Notamacropus eugenii: one gene and its partners. The main gene of each other region encodes a partner of the protein of the gene in region 2 in a complex. Links are inferred from orthologs where the notes say so. Each region holds a gene or a part of one and is shown on either strand. Other genes may lie near its edges. The genes, in order: HELB, RPA1, ATRIP and ETAA1.

Region 1 (7,219 bases), on a different chromosome or scaffold from region 2:
AAGAATCTAAACAGCTTTTCATAGGAAAATGAGAATATACACACGTGAGAATACAAAATGCTGTTTATAGGATCATGGTTTTAGACTTAGAAAGAACCGTAAAGGTCTCATCCAATCCTCTTACTTTAGAGATGAGGAAATGGACCCCGAGAGGTTTAAGTAACTTGGTCCTTGCCCAAGGACATTCAGGTAGAGACAGGATTCAAACTCAAATCCTAACTCCATTACTTTCCAATGGACCATAAACTAGATATTCTCTCCAGTTTTAAATGCATGATGTTTAACTAGAATTCATTTTACAAATGAGGAAACTAAGGATCAGTCAGCTTAATCAACTGTGCCCAAACCCACTTTTCTGCCTAACTTACTCTTCCTCTCAAAGTAGGAGTCATTCTTGCTTCTCTACCCTCCCACACCTCCATATAGCCCACGTCCCCATCGCCACCAAATCTGGTGGCTACCACTTCAACAACTCTTCCAGCTATCTTTTTTCTATTCTCACCACAACCAAACGAGGGCCTCATTGCAGGGATGATTTTATCAGCCTCCTTGTACTAGTTTTCTCCACTCTTGAATCTACCCTTCCAACAGCAGCTGAAATGATTATCTAAAAGAATCATGTCTAACCATGTTTCTCTTTTGCTCGAGAAACTTGAGTAGCTATTCACCGACATTAGTAGAAAATAGGAAGTCATGTTCAATTTGCATATTATTTCTATGGGTTTCTTTCTCTGAGTCATTAGTCAGATTCTTCGACACCCCAACTGGGGTTTTCTTGGCAACAATATTGGAGTAGTTTGCTATTTCCTTCTCCGGCTCATTTTACTGACTGATGACCTGAGGCACAGGGTTAAATGACTTACCCAGGGTCAAGCTAGTGTGAACTCAGGTCTTCCCAACTCCAGGCCCAGCACTGCATCCACTAGCTATCCACCTAGGGACCCATTTCTAAGGATACTCATTGTTTTCTGCTACAGAATCGAAACTCCTTGAGGGCAGAAACCATTTTCTTTTTTCTTTCTATCCTCAAGGTCTAGCACCGTAGCTTGCACAAATAAGTGCTTGAATAAAGTCCTTTGCTTTGCTTAAAGCCAGAGCCCAAAATAACAGTTCTGGGATTCAAACCTAGATTCTTATCCCTCACTACACCAAACTGAACTAAATGTCCTTGGGCAAGGACCAAGTTACTTATCCCTCTTTGGGTCCATTTCCTCATCTGCAAATGAGAGGGTTAGATGAAACCTTTAAGGTTCTTTCCAACTCCACAGGGATTCCCTCCGAGACACCAATAAACAAGTTTCAATTCACCTTCCTTTACAATCTAATCAGGAAGGCAAACATACCTATGAATGGATAGATGGCTGAAAGAATTAACAGCATTAGCCAAATGCTTACCATTAAGTGCCAGGAACCTGGCTTATTATGTATGCACTGGGGAGAGAAAAAAAAGAAACATTCCCAGCCCTCAAGGAGTTTATATTCCAAAGGAAGCAACACACATAGAAGGTCTCAAAAGAAGCTTTAAACTGCTCTAAGACTTTGGGACATCCAGTCTATAGGAAAAGTGGCCTGGGAAAGAGAGGTTTCAGAATCATCAGGAGTAAAATCTATAGGGCAGACAAATGACATAGTCCTTTCTAGGAGTACTTCTGGCCATCTCCTCACCAAGTAGTCTACGCTCAGTCATCCCCATTCCAAAATCCCCCAACTTGGACTAGACCCTTGGATCTCCAGACCCTGGTAAATGAAGTTTCTCTTTATCTATTATCTCTTTTGTTGCTTCTGAGCATCCTCCCCCAAACCCCCTTTCCCAGCTCTCCTTTTGCATTATATTTTATAAATATAAAAGTATTTAATTAATTTATTTGTTTTATTATTTTTATTTCTTAATTTATAAATAAATTATAATTTATATGACACGCATACTATACTATATGATATTATACTACATTACATTATTATATAATATACTATATCACGTTATATTATTATATGTTGTATAATATATATTACGTTACATTATTACATATTGTATATTACATTACTTTATATTATATACTATATTACATTATACTACACATTATATAATGTATACTATTTAACATATATTACATATTATCATATTATAACATTTATGTAATATGTACAAATAATAACTTATAAATATTTAATTATAAATTAAATGATTTAAAATACATAAAGGCAAACGCCTTTATATTTTAAGTGCATACAGCAAAAGCATAATAAGTGCTTCCCCTTTCAATAGCAATGTTTATACGTATCTCACACAAAATGAGAGGACTCATGAGCACAGGGGGTAAGATTCTTGGCTGGATGGGGTTTTATCGAGCCCACCCGCCCATCTCGGAGGGGAGAAGGGAGGTTCGAGGACATACGTCACGGGGTCATCGCCCTGGGGCTGGAGGGGTCCCTCAGACCATCCATTCGAGCCCTCCTGGTTTTACAGATGAGGAAACTGAGGCCCAGAAGGGTTGAGGGGCACAGGCCACAGCTAGGGCCCAGAATGGGAGCTCCGGCTCTATCCCCGGCCGCCCCCCGCCTTTCAAGGCCAGGTCCTCGGCTCTTTCCCGACTGCTTTACCCCAGCTGCGCGAGGGGAGGCTGCCCGCCCTCAACCCTCCGTTACACAGCTCCTCGGCGTCCACGAAGAGCGGCTCGTCCTCCTCGTCCTCCTCCACGACAGGCTCCTCGCCTTCGTCCTCCTCCTGCGCGTTTTTGTCCGGCAACAGAAGGCCCCGTATTACCCGAAGCGTCCCCATCGTCGGGAGAGCCGAATCGAAACCAGACGGCTACCCACGCCCGCGACTTCCGAACCAAAACAGTGGCGCTCCGAGACGCTGAGCCGCCCAACCAATCAGCGAGGGCGCCGAAACTCCCGGCCCATCAGAGAGCGCGTCTTGGCCCCGCCCTCTTCTCCCGGAAAGGAAGGCATTCCACCCCCCGCTCTGTGAGAGTCTCCAGACGCGGTGTTTGTAGGTTCTCTGAAATCACGTGGTCCATGCTTCCCGTCACTCAGAAGTGATTCCTCAACCTTCAGACTCCGCCCAGATCGGAGTAATCTAGAGAAAGCGGGAAAGGGAGGGGGGAGGGTGTAGGCAAGAGGCTCCGCCCCAACTAGGGAGCCGTGGGGCGGGGCTACCCTTGGTTGGGGATACAAATGAAACAATCCCTACCCTCGGCTGGCTACTGTAACGGTGGAGACGTTACGGTTTCATTTCAAGTGGGTAAATCAAGGTTAGACTGTAACAAGGAGAAAAACATTCTCTATCCTGGTCTTCAATTCATTGCCTAAGATTTTCATAATCTTTGGAAATTCATTGCCTAAGATTTTCATCATCTTTGGCAGTTATTTCCTAAGATTTTCATCATCTTTAGTAACCCATTTCAGTTTCTTTTGGACAGGGTAATGTAGTGATAAAAAGCCAGGCTCAGGACACCGAAGCCAAATTCAAGGCTGTCCACCATCACGCACTGCTGGTGTGACCTTGGCAAATCACTTAATCTTTCAGTGCCCCCAGACTATTCTCTAAAACAATAAAATGCGGAGAAGTTGCAATCCCACATTGGAAAGAGTTCCCCTTCTCAGGGAAATTAACCGGGTCCAATTCCTGTCCCGGTTTCCGGACTGACCACAAGTCAGGGACCTACAAATTAAGTCACTATATATCTTGATATTTGCCACTCACAGCAAAGGATGGTGAAAACCATTTTGTTTGCTATGGATGACTACACAAGATAGCAACACCTCTCCATCCAAACACATAAGTAGGGAGCCTGTGAACTGCAGTTTTAGACCTGCAAACTCAGTACATTGAGCAAGAGGTAGTTCTCCAGGGGAACCAAACTGCAAGATCAAACTAGCTAGAATAAAGATGGTAGTGATCCCTTGCCAGAGCCACCATAACTTACTGGGGGGCCAGTCTGAGCTCTCTGTGGGCCAGCAGTGGAATGATTTGCCTCAGGAATATGTACCCCATGGAGTTAACCTATGAAAAAATACATTTCCTAAAACAAGTCTTTGCCTCTGAAGCTTCAAAAATACAAAGAATTGTCTTTAAATTATTTTTTAATGATGTTAAGCACTATTAGAAAGCCCTCTTTCTTCTCAGGGAACATCCCACTATAGAGTTTATGGTACATCTTTTGGACTTGGACATTTTCAAAATCTATCCAGATCTGAGAAAGGAGCACCAAAAAACTTTGGTATCTCCTTTTCCTGAAAAACATCCTGAATGCAGATGGTGTCTTTCTTCATATTCTTTAAAGGTTCATCACCCCCAAGGTAGCTGCAATTCTTTCCCCTCTAAGAGTCAAAGGATACCTCATCCTGCTAATAAACAATCATTTTTTAATTATTAAATCACAGCCTGGATGTTTCTAATTTGAATTCTCACCTCCTGAAATTTTGCCCTGAATTACCTTGAAAACTACCCCACCTAGGGCTCACACAGTTTCACTCCAAACCTTAGAGTAAATGGCCCTTCTATAGCAAAAGTTTTGTCACTCGAAAAACTACTGCTGTCTAAGGGACCCTGCCCAATCAGTCCTACCCTAGGATGTTGAGAGTGAAGATAATGCTTTATTCTCTCCTACAAGGAGTGAGTCCCTTACAGCTTACAGTTCTCTCTTCAATTATAAAGCCACAACACTGACACAATCATATTTTTCACATTTATGAACAGTTAACACAATTGTTACTAGCATTCAAAGACTGCTAATCTGATGAGATACAATGTAAATATATTATCCCATTCCATAAAAAATTATAACCTATGGTCTTAGGAACTTGCTATACCTGGGCATTTTTAGCTAAGCAAATTGCTTGACAAACATATTGCCTTGTAAATGCTCCCAAATTCCCCTTATCAATTGGTTATTTAACTCATATGGATTTTGTCCCAAATGGCTGACTTCCTACTCTCATTATGGATAATTTCCAGAGCATATATTTTTCATATATGCTTTCCAGATAATTGAATAATTATGGACAAATTTGTAACTAACACCCCCAACAATTTTCATCCCAAACCTCCAGCATCTATGCCATGTCATATCCTGCCCCTCCCCCACTTAACCCTTCATCTTGGACAAATTTAACCCAAAGCATTATTTCTTGCAAACTTTTTTCTCAGGGAAGTTCCCCCAATATCATGTAAAGGAGATTTACCTACACCCCTTAGGTACTCACAAAGCACTTTGAATGCTGGTGACCACCCCTAAACCATCCAAGTGACCAAAAAAATAATTGCCATGACATTTTTCACACAGACAGCTAAAATATTTTACTCTCCCTTTGATTATTATATGCCCAGTAAGATTACACATAGATAGGCTTACATCCCTCTGAGCTAGCTTTTACTGGTTCAAGTTACTGTGGATCATCTGGTTAAAGATGGCTTTACTTAAAAAGCTACATACAATCTCATAGAGAAAAATGAAAATGAACTTTATTGTCACAGTTGCATGTTTTAACCCTAGAGATTCCAATTCTAAATGTCATTTTATTTTAATCTATATCATTCTTACCCTTCAATTTCCTGCCCTGCAGAAATATTGAGATAGATGGATGAGTGAGTGTCTCAAGATCAACTATTTCCATTCTGTCCTCTTCAGTCCGAGCTCACAGCTCCCAAAGAATCCACAACCTCTATATCTGTTTTTAGGAGTTGGGAGAAAATGATTTCATTCTGCGCAAACTCATCTGAAAAAAAAAAGCTACTCTATTTTTAAATGGACATTCTCCTCCCCTAAGAAAAATTATTAGGAAAATTACTATAAGAAGATTGCTTAGAAAGAACATGGCATTAGAGTAAGGTCTGACTGTCCAAAGCATCACTCAAGACACCTTTTTGCTAGCTAGTATTAAAAACAAACTTCCCCAAACCAATTGTAATATAGACAAAATGGGCCACATTTAGCTCCCTTATTGGTCCCATTTTGATCAATAAAACCTCTAATAAAATCATATATTCTTAGAGATCAAAAAATCCAACCTTCCCACCCAGTGAAAGCATTTTCTCTACATCTATGTGGATGCTTTAAATATAAAATGTGAAATACTTTCTACCTAAATCTTTTCTTTAGCTCTTTCCTCCTGACTTACATGCGGTAAGCCAACTGATCCAAACCCAGTGCAGTACTTTTTTCCATTACAAAAAAGCACTCACTTTCATTAGTATGGATAATTGAGCTAATTTGTCTAAATCAATTAAACAAAATGTCCTCTTTATTGAAGAAGATTCCAAAGTTGTTGCTTTTTAATTTTTATGTAAATATACTCACATATTTGTGTCATAACTAGAACTATATATGAGGTATAAAGCAGCACAATGAGATGAATCTCAGGATTCTTTTATCACCCACAACCAACATCTGAAACCCAGACCTGCCCCTCTCTCAACTAAAATCTTTGCCATGACTTCAAACCTACTAAATTTATTCTTTGCTTTTATTATAAACACTTTGTCCCTCTATTTTCATTTCATTAGTACCTATTCTGGCTTTACTTGCTCTTCTAACTTTTGCTGCATGGCATCGTCTATTTTAGCTATGGCTTCCTTAGAACCTAGCATCTCTGGGTCCTTTTTCCTCCACCATGGCTGTCACTCTCCACCATGAGTTTCCCTTAATATTTGCTTTTTTCTCTTCCCAGGCTGCCCAATATGGTATTAAAAGGAAGTACTGAAAATATGCCAGTAGGACAATTGTAAAACCATGCAATTTAACATCAACTGACTCAATAATTCTTTTATTCACTTCTTATATATTGTTAAATTCCTCACAGAAGCTATTTCAAGGTTTTTCTAACCTCAAACTTCCAATATCACTACTTGTAGTGATAATGCATTCTTTATTTTAGTATAATCAAGTGCCTCTTATTGAATAATGTGATTAAAGAAGATCTTCCCTTCCCATTAATGGGCCTGGGAAGATTTGTAGGAGGGCCCACAGCTTTTGTTAATGAGGCACTGGTTCTCTATTGTTGTGATGCCCTCTGGCTCTGAAATATAAATACTCTGAGGTGAGGTTTTACTTTGGGGCTGACTGATTGCAAGTGTTTGTTTGGCCAGAGGAGATTCTGGGCAGCCACTAAGGAGTACCCCAGCTTTGAGAACCCAGGTGTTAGTTGTTCTGTCTCTGGTAACTGTATGTATGGTCAGACAGTTATCTGTCTTGATTGTGACACATGTATTTCTTAT
Region 2 (7,377 bases):
AACCTCCTGGGCTTACAATGCATTAAGTTGAGGTATCTGCACAAAACCCAGCAAACAGGGAGCTTCAGGAGTGAGGAGCCACCAGGTTGTCTCAGAAGGAGCAAATCAGCCCAAGTCAGAAATGGAGCAGGTCAAAGCTCTCATGCTGATCAGAATGGGATCAGGCCCATAAGTGGCTCTTGTCCTTCCAGCCTAAACAAGATAGAGCCCTAGTCTTTTTTTTTTTTTTAACTTTTCTTCAAACTTGGAAAAAAAGAAAAGCAAAAACAGACACTGGCATGGATTTGAGGGGGAAAACAAACTCTCTTTGGGACATACAGAATTTTAGATGCCAATTCAATATCCAGCTAAGGTACACCACCAGGCAACTGGTGATATGGAAATGGAGACCAAGAGAAAAACTGGGGCTAGAAATATAAATCTGGGAATCATAGGGCAAAGAGAATTAAACTCTTGCAAGTTGATGAGGTCACAAAAGACATAACCCAATTTGAGGAAATCCAGGAACCAGAGGGACAAAAGTATGATGGAGAACAGGCATTTGAAGATTAACGGGGATAGAAATAGACTACAGTTACATAGAAAGACAGAGCAGACTATAGCTATTTACAGTGATAAACATAAGGAAATCACAAGCCTGGCTCTGAGGCATAATATGGTTATGATGAGGAACTCCAATTATCTTTGCCCAAAACAAAGCAACTAGAAATTACTTAACCTACCTTAATAACTTCTTCCTTCAAAAAAAGCAAAGGAATCAATGAAGAAAACTTGTTTCCGGAATGTAAATGACCATTCTAGCTTAGAATTTGTGATAGACAAGAAGCTAAATGGTCTAGTGTGTCATATCCCCTTGAATTGTGGGAGAGCAAATTTCAAAGCTTTCAGGAAAAGAATAGGATGCCTAGACATAACTCTACAAAGACCCCTTCCAGCTCTTTACCTCTGATCCATGAAAATCACCATGGTTAGTGAAGAGCCAGAAAAAGAAGTGATGGTGAAAAACCACAATGGCTTCCTCAAGAACACGTGCTGCCAACTAATGGTAAGTCCTTTTTTTTTTTTGCCTTCTTTTTCCTAAAACATTTGATGAAGTCTGTTAAGCTCTTCTTGCAGAAGAGATGTGGATGACAGATTCTCTTAAGGTGGGGTGAACTGGAAATAGGTTGAATGAGTGAGCCCAAAGACTAGTCATTAATGGCTCAATGTCAAGTACTCCATGAAGTGTCCCAGAGAACCCTGTGAACGTGCTTATCAATCACAAGAAAAGGCACAGAAGGACATGCTCATCAAATCTACAGATGACATAGAGCTGGGAGGGAATGGATAAACATTCTACTGAATCAAATAAGATGCAATTTAATAGGGATGAATGACGTCTTACCGTTGAGTTTTAAAAGATCAACTTGACAAGTACAAGATGGGGGAAAGAAGCACCAACAGGCACCAGGTCATGTGAAAAAAGTTAAATTGAATTGACTGTAAGCTTGATATGCATCAACAGTGTGGTATGAGCTTTTAAAAAAAGATGACACACCATCTTAGACTGCATCAAGAGAAACACAATACTCAACACAGAACTCTGCCTAGTTCAGACTATATCTGGCTAATAAAGAGTCTTGGAGTCACATTTTAGATAGGATCTTAATGAATTTGAGAGTATTCATCCAGAGGAAAACAACTAGAATAGTGAACTCAGTCAACAAGCATTTATTTTTTTAAATTTATTTATTTTGAGTTTACAACATTCAGCTTTTCAACTTTAAACTTTGTCCCCCTCCCTCAACCTTCCCCAAGACAGCATGCAATCTGATATATGCTCAACAAGCATTTATTAAAGGTTTAATATGTGGCAAGGCGTTATGCTAAGTGCTGAAGATAAAAAAACAAAACAAAAACGGCCCCAGACCAGAAGGAGCTTCCCTTGTAAAGGCGGAGTCAACAGGTAAATAGCTAGGTAGGTAACAAGATAAATACAGAGGAGGGTGGGGGGGAGAGAAGGGATAAGTACCTGCCTCGCACCCACAGCCTGACGAAGGTTATCCGACATTATCTGAGGGGGGGACGCTAAGCAGGTGGGTGGGCCAGAAAGGCCAGCATAAGTGGAAATTTGAGTCTTTAATAAAAGAATCCAGGAAAACTACGAGATGAAAATGGGCAGGCAGGGCATGTCGGGGGCACAAGGGGGGGGCTGCGTTTGAGGAAAGCCAAGTGGGCCCCAGTGTGGGAATGGGAAGGGGGGCCGAGTGGGGAAGTCAAGCCTGAGGCAGGAAAAGTAGGAAGGGGCCGGACTAGAAAGAACTTTAAACGCTAAACAAAGGAGTTTGCTTGATAAAAGGGATTACGCGGGGGTCGGGCTTAGCCTTCCGCGGAAGCCTCCCGAACCCCAAGACCGAGGCCAGGGCGGGGTGCTCGGCCTTAGACACCCCCCGGGGGCATGCCCGGGCTTGGCCCCCGGGGCAGCTCGACGTCTCCTCGGGGGTGCGGGGCTCCCCCTTCCCGGGGGGCTCCCACAAACCACTGGCTGGGAGGCTCTGGGGGGGTCACCAGATTCTGCGCCCCCCCCACACACGGCCCCACACTTCCGAGGGCCCTCCGGACATCCCCGACCCTCGGGGTCTTCACCACATCCGGGGAGCCCCGCTTCCCCACAGCACAGGCCTCCTCTTCTAGAGTCACCCCAGGAGCGCGCGGGATCCCCCCAACGCCGACTCCACCCCCCTCCCGTGGCCTGCGCCTCCTCGGGGTCCCGCCACCGCAGCCGCCGGCTCCGCGCCCCCCTCACCTCCCCTCACCTCAATGGCCCCCTCGCTCAGGCGCCAGCTCATGGCTGTCCGCTGCGTGGCCGCCCGGGATCCGGTAGCTCGCTCCCAAGGTTCCCGGGTGTGTGTTCGAGCGGCGTCCGCCGAGTCAGCGGGAATCCGGGATGGTGGGGGGGGGGGGGGAAGGGGTCCTCTCCCGCGCGCTCAAATCTGATTGGCCCGGCCCCGGCCCTGGCGCGCGCCGCTCTCGCGCTCCGGAAGCGGGCGGTGTAGGGGGCGGGCTCAGAGAGTCGAACGGGCAGCCCATTGGCCGAGGCTCCCCGAGCGCGGGGAGGATGTGAAGCCCCGCCCACCGGCGTCCGGCCGGATTTCTGAGCGTCCGGGGGGCGGGAGCGCAGGCTGGCGTGTGACTCCAGCCGAACGAGCCAGGCCCACGCCGGGGAGCAGCCACGCGCGACTGGGAGGCCAGCCGGGAGGTCTGCGCTGCCCTGCCCGCGACTTGTCCAGGTGAGCCTCTGGCTGTAAAGGGGAAGGGAGGAAGCATTTATTGAGCGCCTACTACATGCCTGCTGGGGGCTGCGCGCTTTACAGCACGATCTCACTGGGTCCTCACAACAACCCCGGGAGGGAGGTGTTGTTAGGATCCCCGCTTTACCGACGGGGAAACTGAGGCAGGCGGCGGTTCAGCGACTTGCCCCGGGTCACCCAGCCAGGAAACGTGAGAGGCCGGACCCCGGGCCCAGAGCCCGCGGTGGGGTGAAGACACCTCTCTGCACTTTTTTCTGTTTTGGGGGAGAATCCATCCCACGGGTGTGATGCGCCCCGACCCGAGGGCCCCTATTAACATCCTTAGCCTCTGGTCCTAGAATTCAGCGGCAGCCTAAGGAAGGGGGGGATCACAAGCGGTCAGTCCGCAAGTATCTGTGAAGTTAAGAGCTACGTGCTGGAAACAGGCAGTAAACGTTTATTAAGCACCTACTGTGTGCCAGGATACAAAGAGAGGCCAAAGAGCAGTCCCTGCACTCAAGGAACTTAAGAGAGCCTGCGAACAACCTTGTTCGAAGGTACTGGATAAATAGAAAATAATTAAAAGAGGGGAGGGGCTGGTCTGGGCTTTTGTTGGGGACTTGAAGGAAGCCAGGGAGATCAGTAGTCACAGCAGAGGAGGGAGAGCATTCCAGGCATGGGGGAGGGCAGAGACAATTCGGGACATGGAGTATCTTGTTTGTGCATCAGCTGGGAGGCCAAGGTCCCCAAATCAAAGAGTATGTATTGGGGAATAAGGTGTAAGAAGACTGGAAAGGTGGGTAAGGACAAGGTAGGAAGGATTCTGAATGCCACAGTGTTTTGTATTTGTTCCTGGACGTCTCAGGAAGCCAGTGAGTAGGGGGGGGTGACATGGCCAGACATGGCCTGTGTTTTAGGAAAATCACTTTGAGGGCCATGTGTGTGTTTGTCCATCAGAGAAATGATGACATGACTTGCACTTGACTTTGTTTTGAGTGAGGGAGGGCTGTGCAGGTCACCAGCCTCACTTCTCCTCCAGAGCCATCTGAATCCAGTGACCAGATATTCATCAGGATGACTGGAGATGACCCAGGATGAGGCCACTGGGGTTAAGTGACTTGCCCAAGGTCACACAGCTAATGAGTGTCAAGTGTCTGAGGTGACATTTGAACTCAGGCCTTCCTGATTTCTGCACTGGTGTTCTATCCACTGTACCACCTAGCTGCCCTAAGGAAGATCACTTTAGTGTCTGAATGGAGGGTGGATGGAGTAGGGAGAAACTTGAGGCAGGGAAACCCAGGAGCAGTGACAGAAAGTCCCTGGCCTCGGGAGCTTACATTTTATGGCGTGTGCAATTATTGCTTATATAAGTACATGCAAAGTAAAGCAAAATTGTTTGGAGAGAGATGTCATCTAGGTGGAGGCCCTTTGGCTGAACCTTGAAGGAATCTAGGGATCAGAAGAGGTAGAGATGAGGGAATGATGGCAGGTATGGGGGGGACAACCTGTGAAAGGTGGCAGAATTAGGGAAGGGTAGTCCTCTGAAAAGAGATGCCAGAGCCACATTCCTTTGAGGGTAGAGTGATTGTGGTCTTAGGGATTTCAGCCATCCTTGGGCCCAACATCAGCAGTTTAGGAGAAGAGCTAATATTAGAACCAAGCAATTGGAAGAAAGCAAAGATTTACATTAGGGATTTTTCAGTTGTTCAAGGATTACGCTTTCATTGATGTGGTTTTTCTCCTCCACTTCTGGAGATTGCAGCCCCTTAGTGACTTAACTGAGTAGATAAGTCTGTGAGAATTGCTACAGCTGAAAAATTCAACATGCCTTTGCCATCCTGGTGATGAACCTCTCGAAACATAACTCACTGAGCCTCAATTTGGGAGCTCCAAAGGGCCCCAATGACCACCTAGTTGGACCTATTACATGAAAGGAGTCCCCTCATCAACCAGGGAGCTTCCCCTTTGGTGGGTCCTGGCCTCCTTGGGCAGCAGTCTATCTGGTGAGGCCTATGGAGCCCTTCTAAGAATTCTGGCTTTAAATGTATAAGATCAAGCACATGGGATTACAAAGAAAACCACTTGCACTGAAGTGCAGCTATCCAAAAATTTTTAAAATGTATTCACAGACGCTGAGTTAAGAAGCTTGACTCTACAGCTTACCTGATGGGCGGCAATACAGCCTTTGATTGAAGTCATCCTTTGAGAGGGAACCTGAAGGCAGCCCAGTCTCTGGGCTCTGACTGCTGGGAAATTTTTCCATACTCTGAGCCCAAGTTAGCCTTTTGCTATCTATGTCTACCCCTTGTACCTGGTTCCCCCAAGGCTCACCCTCAACACAAAGTCCTTCCCAGTCCCCAGTAATGCTAGTGCTTGCCCTCTGTTGATTGTCTCCAATTTATCCCATCTATATCTTGTTTGTACAGTTATTTACATTAGATTGTGAATCTCCACAGGGCAGGGACTGGCTTTTTTTTGCCTACCTTTGTATCCCTAACACTTAGCATAGTGCCTGGCCAATAGCACGCACTTAATACAGCTAGGTTCTGATTCATGTGAATAATGAATCTTGTGAAACAGTCGTATGTATTCACATTGACCCTGTTTGGAGTAAGGATTGTGTTAGCTATGGTCATTGTTCCCACCCAGTAGAAATGTGCAGTACAGATGTGAATAATGGGACCACTTCACCAGGTTCCCTATCCAGATTAATCTGGACCAACTTGAGTATATTAGTTGGCTGAATAAAACACTCCCTTCTCACCATGACCTTAAAATCCAATGGAGAGACAAGTACATCTAAAGAGATATATGGTACAAATAAAAATAAATAAATATATGTGTGTAAAAATTAAATACAAGGTAGTTTAGGAGAGAGGGTACTAGCATTTCAGGGAACCAAAACACTTCAAATAGGAAGCAGTGCCTGAGCTCTGTCTTAAAGGAGGATACGGCTTGTAGGAGGCAGAGATAAGGAGGGAACATTCAGGGTTGGGGTGATTTTTTTTTTTTCCTGGGAGCTTCACCCTCCATGAACAGTTTCCCCAGAGACTAGGCCATACAAGAATCAAAGGAACTGGGGCTGCTCAGCCTGGAATAGAGAGCACTCCAGAGGGATGTGCTGGCTGCCTTCAAACATCTGTTAAGGGCAGTCATGTGGAAGACTAGAATGGGGATGCTTGTCCCTAGAAGGCAGAATTAAGCAGTATAAGTTGCAGAGATACAGATTTAGAGTTAATAAAAGGAAAAACAGCTAAGTTGGTGCAGTGGCTAGAGCACTGGGCCTGAAATCACAAAGACCTAAGCTCAAATCAGGCCTCAAACACTGTCTGTGTGACCCTGGGCAAGTCACTTCCCCTTATTTGCCTCAGTTTCCTCATCTGTAAAATGAGCTGGAGAAGGAAATGATAAACCAAGAAAACCCCAAATGGAGTCACGAAGAGTCAGACACGACAGAACAGGCAACGAGAGCTAGGCCAAAGTGGGGTTGGATGCCCACTGGCTATCCTGAGTAGGGGAGTCCGGCTCAGTGGCATTCGGCCCTTTTCCATTCTGAGATTTTGTGATTCTGTGGACTGCAGGGGCAGGTTGTGACATGTTATTCCCCTCCTCAAGCTCTTCATTTCTGCCAAACTCTATTTGTGATTGCCTTTGACCTGACATCCTTTCACTGTCCTCCTTGCCATACTTGTTAGAATGCCCAGTTTCCTTCCTGCTAACTCCCCCAGCTGCTAGTACCCCCTCCTGCCTCTAAGCACTTTATGTGCTCTTCTTTATGAAGCTGCCTGTACTTTGTAATCCCCTCTCCTTAAAGACTTTAAGCTCTCTGAGGGCAGATTGTTTTGCTTTTGTCTTTGGATCCCCAGTCAATAAGCATTCATTAAGCACCTACTATGTGCCACGTAGTAGGTACTTGCTGAATGAATGATGAGCTGTTGGACTAGCCAAGCAGCAGCCAGAAACCTCAGCAGTTGTACCAGTTAGCTGTGCTCTAGGAATTCATTCCCTCTTCTATCTTCCTTGGAAAGAGGGGGATGTAAGTGACAGAAGGGCAGGAAGCCTGCCCTGAGGCACCCACTGTGGTGTCCCGTCACAGTGTGGTTGCAGC
Region 3 (7,091 bases), on a different chromosome or scaffold from region 2:
CAATGAAACATATATGCCAGCACAAACTAAGCAAGCAGCTAGATGGCTCAGTGGACAGAGTGCTGGGCTTGGAGTCAGGAAGACCTGAGTTCAAATCTAGTCTCAGACATTCACTAGCTGCATGACCCTTGGCAAGTCACTTAACTTTTGTTTATCTTAATCTACTGGAGAAGGAAATGGCAAACCACTCCTGTATCTTTGCCAAGAAAACTTTATGAGATCATGAAGAGTTGGACATGACTGACCAACAGCACAGACTAAATATTGATGCAATGCTTAGGGTATCATCGATTGTGAAAATCCTGTTGAAATGAAAAGCTTTGAAGTCACTCAGAGAGCTCAGCTTATCTAAGTCAGAAGACGGACACAAAAGGTTGGAGTTGATGGTTAAGACGGTAGAGAAAGAGTGTGCTGTCTAGTTTATCTCTTAATCAAGACATGGTTCTGAACTGGCTTTACAGATGAGCCATGAGTCAAACCAAAGAAAGGCAACATGGTGGAAAAGAGTACTGGAACTGAAGCTAAAAGACTCAGGGTCTACTATATGCTCTCAAGCAAGTTATTTTATCTTTCAGAGCTCCAGTTCTCTCATCTGTAAAATGGGATTAAGGATCTTTCCATTACCTAATTTATAGGGTCTTTGTGAAGAAAGAATTTTGTAAATCTTAAGACCATAATACATAGGTGAGCTACTATTATTACTAAACTGGCTTCACAGTAACAGGACAGGAAATAATACAACAAGTATTTCTGTGTTTATTATGTGCTGGGTGCTATGTTAAACACAAGGGATACAAAGAAATAGCAAAAATGGTTCCTCAAGGAATTTACATTCTACTGAGAAGACAGCATGTCCATATATAGGTATACACAAAATATATACAAAGTAGATACAAGGCACATTTAGAAAGGATGTACTAGCAGCAAAGAGGACCAGGAAGTCTCCTGTAGAAGGTAGCACTTGAAGTAAGTCTTAAAGAAAGCCAAGGATTTTAAGGTATGCAAGTGAGCAGAGAATTCGTTCTAGTCCTATGGGAGATAGGAAGCAGAAAATACATTCCAGTTATGGGAGAGAGTCAACGCAAAGGAAGGGGGAGGGAACAGTGAGCAGCCCAGTATGGCTGGAGTCAGAAGAATGTGAAGACTAAAAGGATAAGGAGGGGCCAGGTTGAGGAGAGCTTTACACGTTAAATGGAGGACTGCACAGGTTTGATCCTAGAGGCAAAAGAAGCCACTAGGTTTTATGGAGTAGGGTTGGGGGAGGGGAGTGAGTGCTCAAATCTGAAACACTAAGAGCTAAGAACGGTCCGTGTCACTTACCTTTTCCTTTAGTTTTTCATGTTGTGTTTTAAGCTTTTCTAATTCAGAAACATCAACCGCTGGAATCTTTTCTCTGCTTTTCTCTGACGGATTTTTACTTCTGGACAGTCCGTCTTGCTCAGGAAACTTAGGGATTCCTGCCAGTAAGAATTGACTTATATTAAATCTGAATCTAGATAGGGTGAAAAGAATCATTTGTCACTATGAATAACCTGCAGGGCACCCCCAGCTTAAGGAGATACTCAGTTTACAAATGATCCCCTACGTTCCTCTACCCTACATCCATTCTCCTGACAGAGATGGCGCTTTGGTGTCTCAAGGAGTCAGTGCCCTTAAAACTCCACTTCCAATAAAACCAGATGGTGGTTTGATTTTATGGTGCCATCAGTATTAGGCTTTGGTGAGATGGCCTGCGCACCTAACCACTTCCCTAGTACCTGAGACAACGTTTAGAGGCAAGCCGTGGATGACTGGAAATACAAGCTTTTGCAATACAACCTATTCCCAACTTGCAAAGTGCCTGCGTGAGATGAGAGGGGTCAGGAAGGTGAGTAAACCTGTAGAAACATGCGTAATTTTATTCCAGAGTCAAACTTATGGTGCTCCTCTTTTCCGGACTCTGCTTTAAGATGAATCCTGTCAGCCTGCCCATGGGATACCGGTATCACTGAAGCATGTCTAGTCCCGGAAAGAGAGCGAGGTAGAGGGGACTAGCAGTCAGAGACCCTGCTTCTGATATACTTACTAGCTGTGTTACCATTGGCAAGTCACTTAAACACTCTGGACTTAGGCTCCTCCACCTGTAAAACGGGAACAATACCTGTAGTACCTACCTAGCGGGCTGCGTAAGGACCAAGGGACCCAGCGAGCGCACGGCACCTTGGAAAGGGACCCCGCTCCGCAAGGGAGCTATCGTTAGCGCTACCGACTGCATGCCCAAGGTCCACAGCCGCGCACGTACCGAGGGGGGGTCCGGCCGCGCCGTCATTTCGGGGGGGCTGCGAACGCCCCGCGCTCGGACTCGAGCTTCCGGCGGCCGAGGGGGAGGCGAGCCTGGCGGCAGAACCGGCGTTCAGCAGGGCTGCGCAGTCCACCCCTTGAGTCAAAGCTTGGGAGGCGATGATGTCGATCTGCTCCAGATCGTCCGCGGTGAACTCTTCGTGGTAGCCAAAGGAGTCTTCCGCGTCCTGGAAGTCGGACACGTCCCAGCTCCGCGAGCGCTTCTGGGGCGGGGAGCCCCGCGGGGGGTCGGCCCTGGCGTCCCGGCCGAGGTGCGACTGCGAGGGGGTGCGCTTCCTGCCCCCCAGGAAGCGCTGCCCGGAGTTCCCCGCCATGGCTCTTGTGGACAAAAGGCTCGGCACCCCCAAGGTTCCTGGGGGGGAAAGTGGTGGGAGGGTGCGAGTGGCGACAGCGCTCCTGCCCTCCTCCCTGCCCCCATGCCTGCTCCGTCCCTCCCCCACCCGCGCTCCCGCCGGCCTCCCCCGACACCCCTCCCGCACCGGCCCCCTCCCCGTCCCGCCAGCGCCCTCATCCCTCCTCCCGGCACGCCTCCCCTACCTCTCTGCGCATCCCGAGACACGAGACCGCTCCCGGACTCGAGTCGGCCACTCACCTCAGTTCTGCCGCCGCCGCTACCATCCCCTGTCAATCACGGCACACGACCCGCCTCTCGGCCCCATCGACCAATCAGGCCCCGGGCTCTGGGGGCGAGGTGCAGCTCCCGGCAGTCTCGGGGATCTGTAGGCGGGCGCCCCCCGATGACGCCACAGCATCGCCGGCGGCCGTGTCCTGAGCGCGCGATGATGACGTAAGGATGTTGGGAAGCTGGGTCCCGCGGCGGGGCTGGCCTGAGATCCCCAGGGGAGGGAAGTTTGGCAGCTGCGGCGGCGAAGGATTGTGGGAAACAAGCGGTCGGGGGAGGGGCGGGCGGCGCAGAGGCCCGCAGGGCCCTCGGGAGCCGGTGCCGAGGCTGCCCTTTCCAGAGACCCGGGCGGGGCTGGCCGTGCTCCCGGGAACGTCATCTCCCCCGGGACCGAACCCTTCGTCCGGCTGCAGCTTCGTCCCCTCCGCCGCCGACTCCGGCGGGGCGGCCCGAGGGAGGCCCCCGCGCTGTGCCCCGCGTGCCGGCCCTAGCTCCGTAACTCCATTCATTCATTCGCTCCAGGGGACGAATGTAGCACCGAGGGCCCCGGGAGAGCTTGACGTCTTCCCGGGGCTGGGTGGGCCGGGGGGCAGAGCTCCGGGGCGCGCCCCGCTGCTCCAGCAGTGACCGTCATCTATTTACATAAGCTTCCATGGCCCCGGGAGACCCCAAAGTGAGCCGCGGGGAGGGAGGCGCCCCGAGGTCCCTGCCCCCAAGTAACAGTGGATGTCTGCCTGGGGTGCCCCCCTTGCCTAGGTGGAACACCGTCTGGTTGGGATAAATGACAAATACTACAAAACAGCATGCCCAGATTTAACTCTACATCTGTGAACTTTTATGTTTCTGAAAAATTCCCCCAACACATAAAAACATTGTTATTCTCCCCTCTTTTCCGTAGCCCTCCCTGAAACAGTAAGCAATTTGATGGGCAGTCATGCAAAACATTTACATCCTTAGTCACGAGAAAGAAGACACGGTCTGTGACCTTAAAACTTTAATTCCCATCTTTTGTAAGATTTTTCCAGGTCTCTTCCCCATCCCCCAATATCTTCCTCCCAGAGATGACTGCCCATGTACTACCCTATGTTTATCTGGAATGCATGTGGTTCTTTGCATATTCTCCCCATCAGAATGACAAGAACTAGTTTTCACCTAGCTGGAAGCCTGACCCATATTAAGCACTTAATAAATGCTTAGTATTTTATGCATTTAAAATCTTTATTGAGAAAGGTTGTATCAGTTTCACCAGACTGTCAAAGGGGTCCATGACACCAAAAAATGACAAGATCCCTTGCTGCAAACTCCAGCAGCTCCCTGTACCTTAAAGACTGTGGTACCTTTCCATTCTTTTTACATTCCAATGACACTGGCCTCCTAGAGGTTCCTTTAACTCAACACTCCCATCTTCTGATTCTGGAGCATTTTCACTTGCCCTCTCCCTACAACTGGAACTCTTTCCCTCCTCATCTCTATTTCCTGGCTTCCTTGCAGTCTCAGATAAAGTTCCATGTTGTGCATGTTTTCCCCAGTCCTCCCTCTGAAACTATGCCCAATTTATCGTTTGTACATAGCACAGTACATTGTACAGTATCTTGTTTGTACAGTTATTTGCATATTGTCTCTCCCATTAGACTGAGCTCCTTGAAAGCAGTGCTGGCTTTTTGCCTTCCTTTGTATTCCTAGTGCTCAGCAGAGTGCCAGGCTCTTTAGAGTAGGCTCCTTTATAAATGTTGTTGGTTTGCCTTTCATTCTCGAAAAGGATCATGACATTAGTGAAATGATGACATGACTTGCACTTGACTTTGATTTGAGTGAGGGAGGGCTGTGCAAGGTCACCAACCTTGCTTTCTTCTCCTGAGCCATCTGGGTCCAGTGGCCAGATATTCATCAGGAGGACTGGAGATGGCCCAGTATGCCATGTGAGACCCTGGCCCTTTCAGGCTGAGATCTTATTACATTCTCACTTTGAGTGATACACCCATTCAATGGATAGGCTTCTTTAAGTAGTTACTCAAGGGATGGTCCCTTTAATAAAAAAAAAAAATCAAACTGGGAGGGGAAGACCCTTAGGGTTCCTGGGTAGTTATTACATCCACTGTGGGCTAGGTGGGTGGGGACTTTTATTGATAAAATGACCACCAAGGCCAAGATTTCTAGAACTGAGTTCAGTTTAAAACACTGAAATGACCTCAGGACAAAATGGATTAAAACTTCAGCTATGCCTTCTTCCCAGAGTTTCTCTCTTCCCTGGTTTCCTCTCTTCAGGATCTAGAGCAAGCTTGCACAACCTGTGGCCCACCGGCTGCTTGCAGCACACCAAAGGATTTCAGGTGGCACAAGAAAAATGTAAAGGAAAACATCCTGTACATTTTGTGTGCCGTAAGTGGCGGCAGGTTGTGCAGGCCTGATCTACAGGCTGTCGATTAATGAACATAACGCCAAAGAAAAAGAGTACATTCAACCATCTTGTTTAATTTTTTGTGTACACTGCTGTTTAACCCAGAGGCATATCAAGTAGATTATGGCAGAGGACAGTTTCTAGACTGGGTCAGGTCATCCTAGCTGAATTAGGAAGAGCTGACATGGAAAAAAAAATAAAGACAACGTGAGTCATCACTATGATTTTTAAAAAAAGTTTATTACAATGTACAAGACTCATTAAAATGACACTTAATCTTGACTGCAGGCGGCAACAGATGTTGAAGTAGGAAATGCAGATGTCACAAAGCAACAGGAATCACCATTTTATCTACACAGGAACGTCTACTTTTTGCCAGATTTCTTAATGCCACCACTGGCTGTAAGAGAAGGAAATATTACTCTAGACAGGGAAGAATGCTGAGGGGTTCATCTCAGGACCACTAAGCCCAGATGATTTATCTTGATTTTAGCTAGATTTGCAATTCCACCCTACATGACCCACTCACTAAGTAGGAAGTTTAACAGCTCTCACATCTACTCCCTTCTCTCCACCCGAGCTACAAACCCTTCAACACCTTTCCCCTGGATTATTGTTATAGCCTAATTGGTCTCTCTGTACCTAGCCTCTCCCAAATCTCCTCCATATGCTACCCAGGGGTGGGAAACCTGTGGGTGAGAAACCCATGAGGTCACATGTGGCCCTCTAAGTCCCCAAGTGGCTGAATCCTAACTTCACAGAACTCTGCCAAGGTGGCAGGTTCCCCACTGTTGCCAAATTCATCTCTCTGACCGTGTTACTCCTCTGCACAAGAATTCAGCAGCTCCCCATTATTTTGGGGATAAATGACAAACTTCTCTGTTGGGCATTTGAAGTTCTTCATTAAGTGGCTTCAGCATTTCTTTCCAGGCTGATGATTATCCCTCTGGACTCATCACTACTAATAAATTGGCCCACTTCCTCTTTAGGACATTCTGCCTCCTGGCTTTTGCCATACTGAGATGATCTCATTCCCCAATTCCACTTCTTGAAACTTCCAGTTCCTTCAAGGTTTCGTTCCAGTGCCCTCTCCTTTAAGAAGTCTTTCTGTGTATTTATTTTATTCGTATTCTGTACTTCTCTGTAAACACTGTAGCATGCTGGTAGTTTGTTCATAAGCTCTAAGGCTGGGACTGTTTCACTTCTGTATCATCAGTATGAGGTACATAGCAGGCAGCTCAAAAAGTGTTCTTTTACTTCTGCAAGCTTAATGTTAAGTTAAAATTTTTTAGAAATTTGTAATGTTTTACAATGACTATGTCTTACATACTGGCATACATTAAGTTTTAGTTGATATACTTAAAAAGAAAAATAGAGAAAATAAGAGGTCTGAAAAATTATTTCAAATTGTGAATAATAGGTTTTAGGCAGAAAGGCTGTAGTTATTGGGATTTTTTGGCCCAGAGAATCTTTTTGAAATGTGATCACTTCTATTTATCTCCCTGAACAAAAGAAATCTAATAGCTTACATTTATGTGTCACCTTATAGTTTACAAAATGCTTTCCTCATAGTAATCTTATGAAAAGTGGAAGGCAAGTATTATCCTCCCCACACAAATGAGGAAACAGGTTCACAGAAGTTAAATGACTTATTCAGAGCCACACAGTTAGTTAGTAAATGTTAGATGATATTTGAACCCAGGTTGCTCAACTCCAGGCCTAATATCTAGA
Region 4 (7,884 bases), on a different chromosome or scaffold from region 2:
TAAGCATATGATGAAGATGCTATCACCTACTAGTGAATATACATCGTGCTTCTTTCAGTGTGGACACCCTACAGAAAAATGGCAAAAAGGCAGATATAAGTGCTTAGTTTTAAGACAAAAGGAATCTTCCACTGAGTTGTTACTATTTCTTGACAATCTAATAGAATATAAAGGACATGATTTAATTGTTTCCTGACATTACAGATATTTGGCATTTTAACTTCACTCATACTAGTAACAGGAACTGAAGGGAGAAGAGGGAAATACAATTTTTGTAAAAACTTTCATTTGGTAAAAGATTCTAACACACAACTAAGGTCTTTAAGAATCAGTATTAAGAACAACATTTCTGAGTAGATGGAGGTTAGGGATCTGGTGTAGATATAGGCAAATACTTTATGATGTTGTTTAGATTTAGTTTCCTGTTCTATCTAGAACTTGAAAAACACGATAATTAGTTAAAAAAAAATCAGAGGGATTTTGACAATGTTTATATGAACTAACATAAGCCAATCAGAGAATTTCAGAGTTGGGACTATAAAGGTCATTTAGTCTAACTGGCAGTTGAACAAGAATCCTAAACCTAAAACATCCCTTACAAGTAGAGCTGAGAACACAGGTCTACAAAGTAATCCTTCTTGTCATTATTTTAAATACAGAGGTGAGAAAATAATTATTTGTATGAAGGGCAACATAATATTGGGAAACCTTTTCCTACTTAACAACTATATAGTGTTTCATGGTTTACAAAGGTCCCTCTTCACAGCAATCTCTTGGGAAAGACAATGTGAGAATGATACCCATTTTACAGATAAGGGAAGTGAGGCTCCCAGACATTAAGTGACTTGACTAGATATACTGAGTTAATAAGTGTTTCAGTAACAAACTATAAAGTTATTAAATTGTATTTACCTTAGGAGCAATACGGTTAACAATATCTGAAATTGCAACACTACATCTCCTGTCAAGCTTTTTATTTCTTCTTTCATCTAAAAACGAAAAAGCATTTCAATAAGTTATGAAAGAACATTTAAGTTGTTAATACTATGACCCTTTGAAAAAGGAATTTAAATAGCTTGCTTTAAGTCCATGACTAGTCCATACCACAGTATGCTTTTGAGAAGGATCAATATTGTCATAAAAATATTTGCTCTGTACAAGTTTCTGACCTCACTTACCAAATAATTACCATTCAAGCCCAACTATCAAATATTATAAAAAATCAGTTTTATATAAATTTTTTCCAATTACAAGTTACCTAATCGACAGGTCGTTGGAGAATTTGGATCCCAAAATATTTCTTGCTGTCCATCAGTATCATTACATGGGGAACTGAAGACAGGTGATCGAAAACTGGATTGCAACAATCTCTTTGGAGTTTTATACAAGCACATTTCTGTATAAATATAAGATATAATTAAAATAAACATTACATTTAAAGGACTACTTATATGAGCAATACAATAACTAAATAGCTTTGATTGGGTTACTCTGTAGATATGGTGATAATTTCCTTCCAAAACAATAAAGAAGGTTGTGATGTTTTATATATCAATGTATAACTAAACACCAGGAAAATCTAAATATTTCTGCATCCCTGGCCAGAAACATATTTGAGTGCAGTCAGACAGATATACACACATATGCATATATGTACATACATATATATGTGTGCATACATACATACACATACGTAACACATATATACATATATGTGTGTATGTGTAAGTCAATAGTTTCTTATTTATTATCAATGAACCATTTTATAAGTTTCTGGTTCAAAAAGATTTTGGAATACTTATTAAGAATCAAAAAGATATTCCCCCCACACACACATATACAATATGAGCATCACACACACTCTCCTATCAGGGGTTGTATGGCGGGTTCTTCTATTAAATGGATTTAATTTTCCCCACTTTTGAATTTATAACCTAATGTCTCAGTTTCGGGAGAAGGGGTTAAGAATCTGAACCACTACACCTCGAGGACGAAAACCTCAATATTACAAGTTGTCCTAAAAAAAACTTCTTCCCTTATAGGATTAAAAAGCACGTGTACACTACCGGGGTTCATAGGTAAAAAACACTTAACTGGAACATTGGCTGCATGTTCGAAGGCAAATTTAAAAGAACAAGGAAGACTCTGGGACTCCAGAGACAACCACCTGCGTGCAGCTCGTGATTACGCTTGTGAAGGAAGGCGTCTTCCCACCTCGCCCCAGGGGGAGGGCGGGCTGGGGCGGGCACGTGGCGCTCCCTCCCCTCCCCCGGACCCACCCATCCCAACGTGGCTGCGGCCGGCGTCTGGGGTAAGCAGGTCGGGGCACCCGGCGGGCCACAAGGCTTCCGTCCCTCCCCCAACAAGCCCGCCGGAAGCCGCGGGGCCCCAGGCCGGGCGTCCGTCCGAGGGCCGCACCGCGCTTCAGGCTCGTCCGCGGGAAGGGAAGGGGTGTTTTCTGAGTGAACGAGCGGGGCGCCCCCATCCTGAACCCCGGAGGCGCTCGTGCGGCCTGCCTCCCCGCAGCAGCGTGGGCCCCTCGTCGGCAGGGCCGCCCAAGGCCTCACCCTCGGCACTTTTACTGACAGGAGCGCAGCTCTCCGAAGCCTGGGCCACTTCTCTCTGCGCCCGCCTCCGGCCCCGCAGACGCCGCCCGGGCCCACCGAGCGGCCTGTCCTCATCCCCGGCCAAGGGGGTTGTCGGCGGAGGCGGCGGGGCCGGCGACCCTTTGGGGCCGGGAGATCCGCCGAGCTTCCTCCGCCGACTCAGCATCGTCCCCCAGCCGGGGCCTCCCCCTCCCGCTGCGTGCTCTTTCTCTTTCTTCTCCCTTCACATCTTTCCCGGGAGGTGGGGGCAGGGGAGAACACCGGCACTACCACCAAGCGAGGGCCTTCGCTAGCGCCTTCGCCATCTTGACCGGACCGGCGGCTTAAAGGGAAGCTGATGATTGGCTGCCGCTCCCCGGAGGGCGGGATGAGGGCCTTACGTCACGCCGTACGTACGCACGCAGCCCCGCGGGCCGGGGGCGGAGGAGAGCTCCCTGCCTGCCGTTAGAGCGGAGGAGGAGCGTTGCCCTTTCCCCTTCGCTGTCTCTAGCCGCGTCCTGCACTCCTCCGTCTGCCCGGTGTCCCCGAGTGGGGCGTGTCCTCCTGTCCCCCCCCCCCCCCCCCCCCAAGGGCCTCACGCGGCTAACTTCGGTCCCTTACAAGCACAAGAATAGCTGACATCTATAAAGAGCTTCAAAGTTTGCGAAGCACGTTATTCACCCCAAACTACCCCCACCCCCAACGCACACCCCATGCCACGTGTAATGCTCCCGCGAGTCAGGCGGAGGTTGTTAAACTTACTTTTATACCGTGAGAAGGTTTACAGCGAGGTTAAGTCACGGGACGAGGGCTGCACAGCTGCAAATCGCATCTGGGTGTTGTGCTTCCACAGACACGCGTGGGTTTGCTATCTAGCCGCTGGTGCGGAAGCGTGCCCATCTGCACACGCACTGTGCGGGCCCTACACGCACACCAGAGTAGCGGTATGTCCAGCGGGGAGGTCTCGGCGTGTGTGGGAACTGGGTTTAAGGGAGGCAGGGCTGGACAAAGTCCTCAGCTCCACTCTGCCTGCCAGGGTCATCCCGGGCGGGCCGGGCGGCCGGACAAAGGGCAGGGCAGCGGGCCCAGGCACGTGGATGACCCTGGTATCTTCAACGCCTGACCAAGCTCTAGGCCCCTCCTCGCGCAAACTGTTCTCATCCGGCCATTCCCTCAGGGGAGGTCGTCACGTGCTTGGGGTAGACACCCCCCTAACTCACCTGTGGTGCCAGGCCCTCCAACCAACCTGGCTGAACCTGCCTGCCAAGGTAATTTTACTTGGGTGCGGCCACAGGTGAGAACTGAGCGCCCAGGGGACACCAAAGCCTTGAAAAGAGTTGGGCAAGTCCTGGCACCAGAGGAGCCAGCCCTTCTTGAGCACCGCTTACATGCCAACGTACCGCACACGTACATGTGTGTGTGCACACCTGCATACAGAAGGACATACACAGTTTACTTTTATTCCTAAATGTTTAATATCTCTTGTTTGCTACATACTGATTATATGAGTAGCCCTAGGTAAATAACGTGCAAGCTACCATTTATATCCGATTTTAAGGTTCACAAAGCACATCTTTAGAAATGTTATCTTTAAAAGTATTATATTATTTAGAAATATTTTATCTTCAAAACAGTTTGGGAGATAGGTGTTATTATTATTATCCTCAGCTTACAGATAAGGAAACTGAAGCACTAAAGGTAAAGTAACTTGGCCAGGGTCATGGTTGTTGTTACCTGGGACAGGATTTGAATTCCTGTGTTCCTGCCTCTAGGCCCACAGAGCCACCCAGCAGCCCTGTGTGCTTCTAGGCTACTCAAATAAGGGCATTATTTCTGGGGAAATCGAAAATCTACATTGCTAAAGGAAGTTTCTTCCCCAGGAGCTACATTGATTTCATATAGACAGAAGGTTTGGTGATTTCATATAGACATAAATGTGCCCCCAGAACTTTGGCAAATTTTCAGAATGATTTCATTTTCAGAATGATTTTCATTTTCACTCTGTGAAAAATCATTTTTTAGAGTGATTTTCTGACTTCTGATTTTCTCAGTGATGCTCAGAGTGAATTCATTCATTGTCATACACATCCTTGTTAGTAACTCTCCAGTCACTGAGATCACAGATCACATAAATTTAGGAGCTGGTTTATATATCCATCTAGGTGTTGAAGTGGATAGAGCACTGGGCCTGAAGTTGGGAAGATCCAAGTTCTCATCAAATCAGATCTCAGAAACTTACTAACTGGGTAACCCTGGGCAGCTCACTTAACCCTACTTCCTTCAGTTTCTTCATCTATAAAATGAGTTGGAGAAGGAAATGGCAAACCACTTTGGCAAGAAAACCCCAAATTGGATCATGAAGAGTTGGACCAGATTGTAATGAATGAACAACACTAGGCAATAGGTAATGAGGTCATTAATTAGGCTGGTGCCTATGTGAGTGAAGGGATGGAAGAGATACTGTGTAGTAGAATTTATAAGACTTTTCAACCGATTGAATATGGATATTGGGAATCAGGGTCAATGATGTTGCCATGAGAAAGAAATAAAGAAGTTAAAAAAGGATTAGATTTCATGGGGAAGGATGATGTTTTGGACATTAAACAAGGATTACTTTCATTAGGTACTGAAGCAGGGAGAGGGATCTGATAAATGTCATCATAATGAATAATAAAGAAAAAAGTGCTTGGCCCTATGGGATACAGTTAACTTCTGGAGATACAATTACGAAAGAGAAACCATGCTTGCTTTGAAAGAGCTTCCATTGTAATGAGTTTAGGGGGAAAGGAAAGGAAGGAAAGGGAAAGGAAGGAAAGAGGCCAGTAAAACCCAAGCCAACTGGGCACCTTTTGGCCATCCAAATTTACCTTCATTTGAAGAGGGGGAGGAAGAGAAGGGGGAGGCAGACAGGAGAGGAGAAGCTGAATTACCCACCTAGCAGGGATCCCATTCAACCAACTGCGTCTACTCACAGGATTATATACGACCTTTGTTGCCAAAGAAGGCCATTCCATCAGAGAAATGATGACATGAGTTGCACTTGCCTTTGTTTTGAGTGAGGGAGGGCTGTTCAGGTCACCAGCCTCACTTCTCCTCCAGAGCCATCTGAATTCAGTGATCAGATATTCATCAGGATGGCTAGAGATGACCCAGGATGGGCCCTCCTAGCTTTAGAGTGATTATCAATAATAACTGATTCTTTTTCTATGCCTCATTAAAGGGGCAATGCCCTAGTTACTTCTTAAACAGGCCTATTCAATGAATGGGTGTTACCTCACCCTAAGTGAATACCTGCAAAGACCTTGGCCTAAAGGCCCCAAGGCCTCCCTCTGCATCCTGGATCATCTCCAGTCATCTTATTGAATATCTAGTCATTGGACCCAGATGTCTCTGGAGGAGAAGTGAGGCTGGTGACCTGCACAGCCCTCCCTCACTCAAAACAAAGTCAAGTGCAAGTCTTGTCATCATTTCTCTGATGGCATGGTCTTCAGCAATGAAGGATGAAAACAATTCTAATGGGTGGGGGCAAGGAGGGCTGGGAACAACACAATTAGAGCAATAGCTTCTGGTTTGGTGTGTGCCCTTTCCAGGAACAAGGGTAGCCTTGTTTTGATTGGAAAGGGGGAAAGTGTGGGAGTAACATTTTAGATCCCAGAGTGGGATCTAAGGAGGTGGGGCCTACCAGGAAGGTAGTCAGGCCAGATGACAGGGATGTGATGGTAGATGAAATGATAACTGTAAGCTCCTTGGGTATGGGGATGGTGTCATATTTACCTAATACCTAGCACAGAGCCTAGCTCCATGTAGAGGTTGCTTAATAAATGTATGTTGGATTTGGATGATAAGCCACACCCTTTATCTTAAGGGAACATAGCTTCACACTGAACTGGATACTTCATAAATGGCAGGAGTGGTAGGAACAGCCAGAATTTACACCCAACAACCCCAGGGGATAGGCAGGGCAGGTATTCTCAAAGCCATTTTACAGATAAGAAATTAGATTCTGAATCCTTAAGTAACTTGCCTAAGGCTGAGAGTTGGAGCTGGAGTTCAACTACAGGTCTCTCCCAACCCCCCCAGGTTCAGCAGTCTTTCCATTATACCACGTTGCCTTCACAAAAAATAATTTCCAGTCATAGAGACAGTATTAGGTAATAGAAAGAATATAGGAATTGAAATCAAAGAATCTAGGTTTGAATTTTATCTCTGACACTTATTCGAATTGTAACATTGGACAAGCTACTTCTGTTTGGCTCTACCTTTGCGATAATTTGTTCTAAACTTAATGATCATCATCTACCTTTCCAAATGCTCATAATCCATCCATTTAATATCAGTTATGGCATGTTGCCAGGCAGGGTTATCAAACTCACCAGTTTGCGGAATCCAACCTGTTCCCTCCTTTTGAAAATTGTCCACATGCCTCTGGTATTTCTCCTGTGCTCCAAAGTTTCTCAAAGGTTTCATACAGTGGTTTAGTGACTGCCTTTATAAATTCTTTCCTAATCCTGTGATGTAATCTCTAGTTGGGTAACGAAAATAATTGAACGTAAGTAGGTGCTTTCCTAGTTCCTCTCTTATCTTTGATTTCCTTTTGACTGTTTTCTTCTCTTGCCTTTTCCAATGTGAGGATATTTCTCTGACAAAAGGCAAAACCAATCAATCAAACAGTAAATGAATGAATGAATGGAAGTCAATATCTTAGCTTTATGCTAAATACTAATATTATAACATCTCTCCCCAAATAAAAATCATATTTTCTTCAGACTATAACTTAAATAAGAGAATGATGAATACTGGGTAGGACAATATCCCATGAAGATGGAGAAGGGAGTAGTTGAAGTTTTGCTCTTTGTACCTTTTCCTTCTCTTCTTCCCTTTTCCCTCCTCCTCCCCAGCCCAGTGAATCCCTCTCTGTGCAAAGAAAAACAGTTAAAAGCAGTTAAACAATACCAACTGACTCAACAACTACCTCTGACAACCTGTGAAACATTCCATACTCCTACTCCTCCACCTAGCCAATCTAAAAGAATAAACTCTGTGAAGTGTCTGCTTTTATACCCACCTGCCATCTGATGAACTTGCCAGGATGTTAGCTAAATACTCCTAGCATGTGACTGACTGTACTAATTTCTGCCATTGCAATGGAAGACTAACTTCAGTTGTTTACAAAAAAAAAACCAAAACCCAAAACAACCCAAGAAGTTCATCCTTAATAACTCTCTCAGTTCTCTAAATAATTCAAAAGGTAGCACATATTTTTCTATTTTTCATATTTCTATAGTCCTCTGTTTAGTAT

What was found.
Region 1: the proteins of RPA1 (region 2) and HELB are in contact, whole or in part, in a crystal structure (PDB 7XV1), measured with the Homo sapiens proteins. The link is inferred for Notamacropus eugenii from reciprocal best matches to the Homo sapiens genes RPA1 and HELB. Residues at the interface, in NP_002936.1 of Homo sapiens: Asn29, Ile30, Arg31, Ile33, Arg41, Arg43, Leu44, Leu45, Ser54, Ser55, Met57, Ala59, Thr60, Gln61, Arg81, Ile83, Asn85, Leu87, Arg91, Val93, Ile95, Met97, Glu120; in NP_001357214.1 of Homo sapiens: Glu496, Glu499, Val500, Lys502, Ala503, Cys504, Asp506, Phe507, Glu508, Asp510, Asn512, Ala513, Glu516, Trp517, Thr519.
Region 3: the proteins of RPA1 (region 2) and ATRIP are in contact, whole or in part, in a crystal structure (PDB 7XV4), measured with the Homo sapiens proteins. The link is inferred for Notamacropus eugenii from reciprocal best matches to the Homo sapiens genes RPA1 and ATRIP. Residues at the interface, in NP_002936.1 of Homo sapiens: Ile33, Thr34, Arg41, Arg43, Ser54, Met57, Thr86, Leu87, Lys88, Asp89, Arg91, Val93; in NP_569055.1 of Homo sapiens: Gly53, Asp54, Phe55, Thr56, Asp58, Asp59, Leu60, Glu62, Leu63, Asp64.
Region 4: the proteins of RPA1 (region 2) and ETAA1 are in contact, whole or in part, in a crystal structure (PDB 8JZV), measured with the Homo sapiens proteins. The link is inferred for Notamacropus eugenii from reciprocal best matches to the Homo sapiens genes RPA1 and ETAA1. Residues at the interface, in NP_002936.1 of Homo sapiens: Arg31, Ile33, Thr34, Pro39, Arg41, Arg43, Ser54, Ser55, Met57, Asn85, Leu87, Arg91, Arg92, Val93, Ile95; in NP_061875.2 of Homo sapiens: Thr599, Trp600, Glu601, Ala602, Asp606, Asp607, Leu609, Leu610, Tyr611, Ala613, Cys614, Asp615.

The regions. Positions count from the first base shown.
Region 1 is NC_092874.1:243,294,575-243,301,793, reverse strand, and holds the start of HELB (DNA helicase B), read right to left. Parts: upstream 3,018-7,219; 5' UTR 2,780-3,017; coding exon 2,602-2,779; intron 1,883-2,601; exon of another isoform or gene 1,396-1,882; intron 1-1,395.
Region 2 is NC_092873.1:39,858,867-39,866,243, reverse strand, and holds the start of RPA1 (replication protein A 70 kDa DNA-binding subunit), read right to left. Parts: upstream 3,012-7,377; 5' UTR 2,829-3,011; coding exon 2,796-2,828; intron 1-2,795. UniProt on the Homo sapiens protein: As part of the heterotrimeric replication protein A complex (RPA/RP-A), binds and stabilizes single-stranded DNA intermediates that form during DNA replication or upon DNA stress.
Region 3 is NC_092872.1:14,535,849-14,542,939, forward strand, and holds the start of ATRIP (ATR-interacting protein), read right to left. Parts: upstream 3,014-7,091; 5' UTR 2,933-3,013; exon of another isoform or gene 2,878-2,932; intron 2,693-2,877; 5' UTR 2,655-2,692; coding exon 2,282-2,654; intron 1,458-2,281; coding exon 1,321-1,457; intron 1-1,320. UniProt on the Homo sapiens protein: Required for checkpoint signaling after DNA damage. Required for ATR expression, possibly by stabilizing the protein.
Region 4 is NC_092872.1:636,297,160-636,305,043, forward strand, and holds the start of ETAA1 (ewing's tumor-associated antigen 1), read right to left. Parts: upstream 3,012-7,884; 5' UTR 2,773-3,011; coding exon 2,568-2,772; intron 2,312-2,567; exon of another isoform or gene 2,183-2,311; intron 1,397-2,182; coding exon 1,259-1,396; intron 990-1,258; coding exon 913-989; intron 69-912; exon of another isoform or gene 31-68; intron 1-30. UniProt on the Homo sapiens protein: Replication stress response protein that accumulates at DNA damage sites and promotes replication fork progression and integrity.